Linked DNA regions of Ovis aries. The protein of the gene in region 2 purifies or fractionates together with the protein of the main gene of each other region. This does not show direct contact. Links are inferred from orthologs where the notes say so. Each region holds a gene or a part of one and is shown on either strand. Other genes may lie near its edges.

Evidence for each region.
Region 1: the proteins of WTAP (region 2) and DDX39B purify together in Homo sapiens (affinity purification with mass spectrometry; 3 studies listed by BioGRID and IntAct, with this or other methods). This does not show direct contact. The link is inferred for Ovis aries from reciprocal best matches to the Homo sapiens genes WTAP and DDX39B.

The regions. Positions count from the first base shown.
Region 1 is NC_056073.1:26,836,082-26,839,892, reverse strand, and holds part of DDX39B (spliceosome RNA helicase DDX39B), read right to left. Parts: intron 3,383-3,811; coding exon 3,264-3,382; intron 1,034-3,263; coding exon 902-1,033; intron 214-901; coding exon 104-213; intron 5-103; coding exon 1-4. UniProt on the Homo sapiens protein: Involved in nuclear export of spliced and unspliced mRNA. Component of the TREX complex which is thought to couple mRNA transcription, processing and nuclear export, and specifically associates with spliced mRNA and not with unspliced pre-mRNA.
Region 2 is NC_056061.1:83,743,734-83,747,644, reverse strand, and holds the start of WTAP (pre-mRNA-splicing regulator WTAP), read right to left. Parts: upstream 2,634-3,911; 5' UTR 2,290-2,633; intron 2,165-2,289; exon of another isoform or gene 1,991-2,164; intron 1-1,990. UniProt on the Homo sapiens protein: Associated component of the WMM complex, a complex that mediates N6-methyladenosine (m6A) methylation of RNAs, a modification that plays a role in the efficiency of mRNA splicing and RNA processing.

The DNA.
Region 1 (3,811 bases), on a different chromosome or scaffold from region 2:
AAGCCTTTATGAGAAAGGAAAGCAGAAAGTGTTGAGATTCTCTTCTCTCAATGGTCCCTTTTGCTCACAAGGACACAAAACATCTTGCCCATCTCTGACTCACCTCTCCTCCTGGGGCATCCCACGGTGGATAGCAATGGCTGGGAAGTTCTGCTCCACCAGGAGCTGGGCCAGGGCAATGCAACGCTGCACAGACTTCACAAATATCACCACCTGTGTGCGTGCGTGGTGTGTATGAGATTGGAGGGATGTGCGTCCATGTGGGTGTGTGTGAGAAAAATTACGAGCAGGAGTTCTCAGTAATTACACTCTTCTAAAAGAACTCCTTAGTCCCCATCACATAGTTCCTCTTCTGCTCTAAATACTAAGTCTTTCCCGCTTGGCTCTGACTTTTCCTGAGCAGACAAACATGCTGCAGAGGATATGGAAAACAGTAACCAAAACTACCAGATACATTAGGAGACAAGAATGAAGCCACCACATGAGAACGGTAAAAACCTGACGTAAGTCTGGAAAGACATGACCATTATTCCCACTCACCAAAACATCAAACATAGTAAGAGCTTATAGAAAATGATTTTTAGTGCAAACAAATCACACTAATGAAACACTTCTCCCTGGTGAGCAGTGCAAAACACAAATTTAAGAACCTGTCTAATTATTGTGGGACTCTCATTAACTTTAAGACTCAAGATTTTATAATTTGAGGTTTACTTTCTGTATCAGGCATGGAACAGAAAAGCAGTTCCCATTGCGCTCACGCTCAGCCCCTAAGTCTCTCATTTAAAAGACTTTTTCCACTATTCTCTTTCACATGGCATACGTGGCTTCCTCAATAAAAAGGTTTCTGCCAACAGTTGGAGATGTACTCATTCTCCCTACTGGACCCTGGACAACTAACCTGGTTGAATTCAAGGACATCCAGAAGGTCAAAGAGCTTCCGGTTCTTCTCGTTGTCCTTCAGTTTCACGTAGTACTGCTGCAATCCATGCAGCGTCAGCTTCGTCTCATCATCCACGAAGATCTCCATTGGCTGGGGGGGAGGGGGGAGGGAAGGGGTGGGGAACGGGAGGAGGGCAGAGTGGGGGGGTTAAACCTGGGGGGGTGGAGGAAGTTGATCTCCAATACACCCCATGGGGGGATGGGGAGAAGAGAGAAGATTGAAAACCCAGCCCCACCCCCAAAAATACCCACATTTTAATGTGGTCTTTTGGACATTAGATCTGATTTCCTTCCTATCAGTTGAGTTTTAAGATTTCCCAACTGAAAACTGTTATAGGAAAGGAACTCTGCAGGGAGGAAAGGGCAGAGTCCAACCACCAAATGGCAAGATGCCATTACCTCAAACGGAGGTGGTGGAGGAAAGAAAACAAAGGGAAGTGGTTCTCAAAGCGAGAACATGAAGCAAACACCTGGGAAATCATGGCAACAGTGACTCGAGGTCAGAATAACTCCATTAGAGCTGGTTTAATACAGGGCAGAGCTCCATTTGCATATTCTCTCAACTAGGAGAATCATATCTCCATAAGGTAGGTAGATGTCTTCCCATATCTCCATTAGGAAGGTGGAAGATCAGAATACTTCAATGGACTTAAGGTCAAAATGCCATGAAAAGAGGCAAAGATTGAGTAGCAACTTGCTCTCGGACCACAAGGAAACAGTTTGAGAGAGATTGGTCTCTGAACGAAAAATCAAACCATCTATAGTGTTACGAGGAAGGTACAATGAGTGGTGGTAAGAAGCAAATTCAGAGCAGCAGAGTTACTCAGTCATCTTTAAAAACAAAACAAACACACACAACCCTTGAAGGGAAGGTAGATAGCATTCACCAAAAAAAAAAAAAAAAGTGGTAATTGACACAAGAGTCAACTCTAAAGCCCAATTTCCCTTGTGTGCTGTGTTTAGTCACTCAGTCGTGTCCGACTCTTTGTGACACCATGGACTGAAGTCCACTAAGCTCCTCTGTCCATGAGGATTCTCCAGGCAAGAATACTGGAGTGGATAACTTTTCCCTTCTTCAGGGGATCTTCCCAACCCAGGTCTCCCGCATTGCAGGTGGATTCTTTACCATCTGAGCCACCAGGAAGCCATGGTTAACGTAAAACCCCAGGGTACAAGATTTGGGGAAAGGGTAAGTGTGTCATAAGTGAAAACCAGAAGCTGAACTTCAGAATGCAGACTAGCAAAGGAAGGATTTCCAAAGAGAAGTTCCATGGCTTCCTTCCAATCTAACTTGAACCCCAAATACAGCTAAAGGTAAGAGTTATGGTCCATGGGAAGGAGCACAGCAGGGAGGGAGGGAAAGAACACACTCCACTGCTTACACAAGGGCCCGCCTAGCCCAGACCCTACCACCACCTGGTTACACCCAAGTGGAGCGCTTCACTTTACTTTTTCCATATCCCTCTGAGTATTAAAAAAGTTAAAAAGAAGAAAAAATAAAAATCTACCACCCTACTCAGAACACCCCTCCCCACCAACACAAACGGAAAGAAACAGGGAGCACGGCACGCCTTGGGTTCAGGAAAAAAACCGGGAACAGAAAAAGAGGCTGGTTTGGTCCTCAGCTTCCTGGTCAGGTTCCCCGCGGCCTCCGCTGCCGCCATCCACCGCCGGGTGCGTCCGCATTCCCCCGCCGCGCCACGGTGCTTCTCTGCTGCTGGTTCACATCAACCGAGGTTCCGACGGGTGCGAGGAGGTACGGGTAGGAAGGAGCATGGACTCGGGGATTGAGGTGCCAAAGGCCCCCACCCCTGGAGGTGGGGAGGGAGCGGATTCGTGTGTGCTGTTTGCTCTTCTTTTGGACATGCCCTGCCATCTGTCTGTCCCTCTCTTGCTCTCCTGCCACCGGGAGGTTATGACTTTGGGGAGCAGAAGGCTCCGGCTGTATGCTTGACGCCACCTGGAGGGTGCGTGGCTGTAGGGGGTATGTAGAAGACGATGGGTGGGTGGTAGGGCAGAAAATCCTGCCCTCCCCCAAAAGGGAGAAGAGGTTCAAAAATGCTTTGATGAAAAAAAAAAGTCGAACACTACCCGCTCTCACGTTAACCCGACCAAGTCTTCCGGAGTTTCCCTGGCGCCGCGCAGACCCTAACACTAACTGTCTCTGCCTCTGTGTGTCTCTTCAAGGAGTCATCACTTTCAAATGGGCGCGTGCCCCCTTCTTGGCGCTTGAAGGACAAGGGAGTCTGGAGGAAGAGGGCGCGGAGGGGGAGAAGGCAGCGGGCGGGGAGTGGAGGGAGAGAAGGTAGAAGGGTATTTACGTCTTGCATGAACTTGCGGCAGACTGGACGAATCTCTTTGCTCAAGGTAGCACTGAACATCATGACCTGCTTCTCATGGGGGGTCATGCGAAAAATTTCCTGGACATCCCGACGCATGTCTACAGGAAGAAGAAAAAAAAATTATGGTAGAAAAGAGACATATTATCATAAATGAAGATCAGAGACAGGCTTATCAATGAGGTAAGGACTGCTGGAAATGGGTGAGCCGAGAGTTGCGGGTCAGGGTTAAGATTTGCCTCGGGTCTCTCTCTACTCTATTATCTCCAACCGCCATGTAATCACGTCCAGGGCTGCAATACAGTGGGAACAACAGTGCCTATGGACCAGGTTCCAGCCGTGTATTTTAACCACGAAAGAAATTAGATGAAATCCCAAAGCCCACAACTGGAAAATGGGGATAAAGCCCACTGCAGAGACTCACAAAGATTAAGTCCTTACAAAGCCCTTCTCCCTACTCCTCTCTCCCCAAGCTCCAACTGTCTACCAATATCGCGCACCTATTATATTCCAGCTGTCAGAGTCCATTC
Region 2 (3,911 bases):
TTTGCCTGCCTCACCAAATGCTACAAATCTCAGTGCTTTAAGTACCATAAAGATGCTCTACAAACAAATATATTTCAAATAAAATACTAATATTAGCATAAGAGCACTTAGAAAAAATTAAATTCCACCAACTACATTTTCAAGACTTAGGACCGTTTCTTTATAGCATGGAGTTCTAGCCTGATGCACCACCTTTATATGTAATGGGATATAGTGTTAGAGGAATATTGAGAAGTTTTGTTCTAGTAAGCTTAGTACTAGAATATATTTAAGCCCCAGGTGGCTCATCTACCTGCAAAGCTGGAGACACGGGTTCAAGCCCTGGGTCAGGAAGATTCCCTGGAGAAGGAAATGGTAAGCCACTCCAGTATTCTTGCTTGGGAAACTCCATGGACAGAGAAGCCTGGTGGGTTACAGCCCACCGGGTAGCAGAAGAGTCAGACAGGACTTTTAGAGGCAGAATAATGGGAGATAATTAATAAAAACAAAAATAAAACCAAATACTGTTTAGGTCTTGTTTTGCTAAAGGATCCCACAGAAAATTTTTAAGAAAAATCTTTTTCAACAGCAAGATAATGTTCTATTGTATGAAAATGATCGAGACTCTAAAATAAACAATATTTCCAGGGGAACTGTGTATTACATATATACATACTTAGATGAACGTAAGGGACTCTGAGTGCTGTAACGGACTGGACAAATATAATTATTACAACTCTCCTCTCCATGCCACAAGGCTATGAATTTTCTGTATACCAACTCATTTCTGACAAATACTCAAAATTCAAACCGGTGAAGTTCTATAAGTTAGATGAGTTAAGTAAAAAAACTAGCTGTGCCTGGGATACACTTGATCATCATTACTTTTGTCAGTTGGGACTTAGAAATTTAGGTAGTTTGCCTAAGTTCTGCTACTGGGAAGTGAAAATACTGATCACTTAGCTATAGCTAACTACTGAAGATAATGTAAGATATGAAAGAACTGTAGGAATACAGCGAAACAAATCATTGAAATTTAACCTCATCTTTATCACACGCCGCATTTTCTTTCCCCAACTTGCCTAATCAGATGATACTAAATGACATATATAAAAAATAAATAAATAAATGACATATGTAAATGTGTAACAGGCATCGTGCAAAGATTTTCACAATACTTTTCTTTTTGAAGAAACTTGTGGTGACAGACCTGTGACTTCCACTTATCCTCCTTAGTGATGGAACCAAATTCTTAAGTAGAAAACTATATGAACTCAGGACCATAACATGCTCATGGAAATATTTTTCTACCTTTCTCTAATCTCGGCAAAAGAATCATTGCTTCCCTTATGAACACGGTTATTACGGATTTTAACCTAGTCCTTTGGGATCAAATATCCAACCTGACTTCATCAAAACAAACGTGGACATTTTTCCACTACGTGTTCCCCACTGACTAGAGAAATGCGGTTTAGAGAGATCCAAGGCGAGATTTTAAAATTTCACGAAAACCTTGAATTCAGTCAGTATTTATTTTAGTTAGAAGGCATGCACTCATTTAAAAATGGAAGCCTACAAGACAACGCAGCTGCAGTAGGAAGCTACTGCGCGACGTGAAATGTGCTTCACGGACGCGGCTTTCCTCCCCTCGGCTCGTCGGTGCCGCCGGTCCTCACGATCCTGCCGAGGGAGGTGGGGGAGCCCGCGACGCCGAGGGGGTGACGGGACGCGCGCTCCGAGGGGACGGCCTCCCGGCGTTGCCGGCCCCGCGGGAGCGCCCACCTCGCCCCCGGCTCCCTGAGAACCGAGGTAAAATGGCCTCGAGACGGCGGAAGTGTCGTCCCTGCCAGCGGGCAGACGGCGGGGCTAACGGGAGGCCGGGGGGCCCGGGAACCCCGAGTCCGCCTCCTGCGCTCAGTTGGCCCCTTCCGGGGCCGGGCGGCCGCACCTCAGCCGCCTGGGGACTCGGAGGTCCTCGCCTCCGCTGCAGCCGGCGGCGGCCCGCACCTACCTCTCCAAACGGAGGCCGCGCCGGCGCCCGCCCAGTCACATAGGCCGACCCCGCGCTGTCCTCTCGCCGCCCAGGCCGCCCGACCGCGCCGCCGCCGCCGGCCCCCGCGCTCCTCCTCCGCGCCGCAACCCCGGCGCTCCCCTTTATTTGCGGGTCTCGCTGCCACAAAATGGCGCTGAGGGAGGAAGCGAGGCCCCGACGCCCCACCCCCTTCCCGCTCCTCCCGCCGCCCCGCCCCGCGCCGCCGCTGGCGCCCGCCCGCTTCTCCGCCCCGCGGAGTTCGCGCCCGGCCCACTCACCGACGGGTAGTGCTTCCCGGACGCGGTCGCGGCTACCCGCCCGCTGGGCCCCGCCGCGAGGAGGAGAGGCTAAGGGAAGGCGCCTGCCGGGAGGCCTGCAGTCGCTCAGGGAGGAGCTGCGCCCGGCGGCACGCCCCGCGGCCGCTAGAGCCCTTGCAAGCTCGCCGGAGGGGAGGGGAGGGGGGCGGGGAGAAAAACCGGCCTCAGGGAAAGGCGAGCCGCGAGGTCGCAGGTCAGCCGCGGGGCATCACGGGAAGGGCGGCGGGGGTCGCGATTGGCGGCGCTGGGTGGACGCGCTCGCCGGGCCACCTGCGGCTGCGGCGCGGCCTCCGGCGGAGGAATCTGGACGAAGGCAGTGACTGATTGGCTGCCCTTTGGTGCAGCGCCCAGCGATGATGCTTCCGCGTGCTGGCGGGCCAGGTGCAAGTCTCCTGAGGACGGCTTTAGGCAGCGAATGCGGTCAGTCTAGATGTCGCGAACCGTCGCTGCTCTAGGTTTTGATACTTTAGAAACCGATGCCCTCTCTTCATCCTGGAAGTGGACGCTTGGTTCGACTGCTCCTTGAAATCTCGAGGCGAAACCTGGGAGCTATTGTCTGGGAGGTGGAGATTGTACTTCTGTCTGCTGCTCTGGGGGCACCTTGCTAACTCAACCTCCTGAGTTCTTTTTGTCTTGTTTCGTTTGTTTCAGAAAGTATCTTGCCATGAGTGGCGAGCAATAATAAACAATTTTTCTTAACATGACTTATGTTCCATGGCTTACTCTACCCTCTGCTGCTGCTGCTGCTGCGGGTAAGTCGCTTCAGTCGTGTCCGACTCTGTGCGACCCCATAGACAACAGCCCACCAGGCTCTGGGATTCTCCAGGCAAGAACACTGGAGTGGGTTGCCGTTTCCTTCTCCAATGCATGAAAGTGAAAAGTGAAAGTGAAGTCGCTCAGTCGTGTCCGACTCTTAGTGACGTTATGGACTGCAGCCTACCAGGCTCCTCCGTCCATGGGATTTTCCAGGCTAGAATACTGGAATGGGGTACCATTGCCTTCTCCTCTCCCTCACTGCAAGAGACTGCAAAGTCCACTTCATTCCAGGCCTAGCAACAGGCTCACTGTCTGAAACGTTAAGGTATTATCTATATCAGGGCACGGTGGGGGCTCCTTTTGGTCCAGAGACGCTGCATTTAAGTCACCGGCCTCCCTGTCATCATACAGGATAGTTGAGTAAGAGATGAGAGACAATAAATAGCCCCTAAAGAACCCTCTAATACAAATTTTAATTCAGATACCCTCCCTTACACGATCAACTGGTCTATCACAGAACCATGGTGTTGTCTGGTGGATGTTAGACTCTTAAACTTACTGGAGGAGTCAGATAGTCTTTGCATTGGGCTCCCCTTATCCAGCTTCACCAAAACCGTTTATCCCCAAAGGAGGTGTTCTGGAATGAGGTGATTTATAAGGATAAAAGTACAGTATACGCTTAGATGCTTTTGAATTGTGCTGGAGAAGTCTCTTAAGAGTCCCTTAGACAATAAGGAGATCAAACCAGTCAATCCTACAAGGAATCAACCAAATGGTCACAGGAAGGACTGATAACTGAAGCTCCAGTATTTTGGCCACCTGATGCA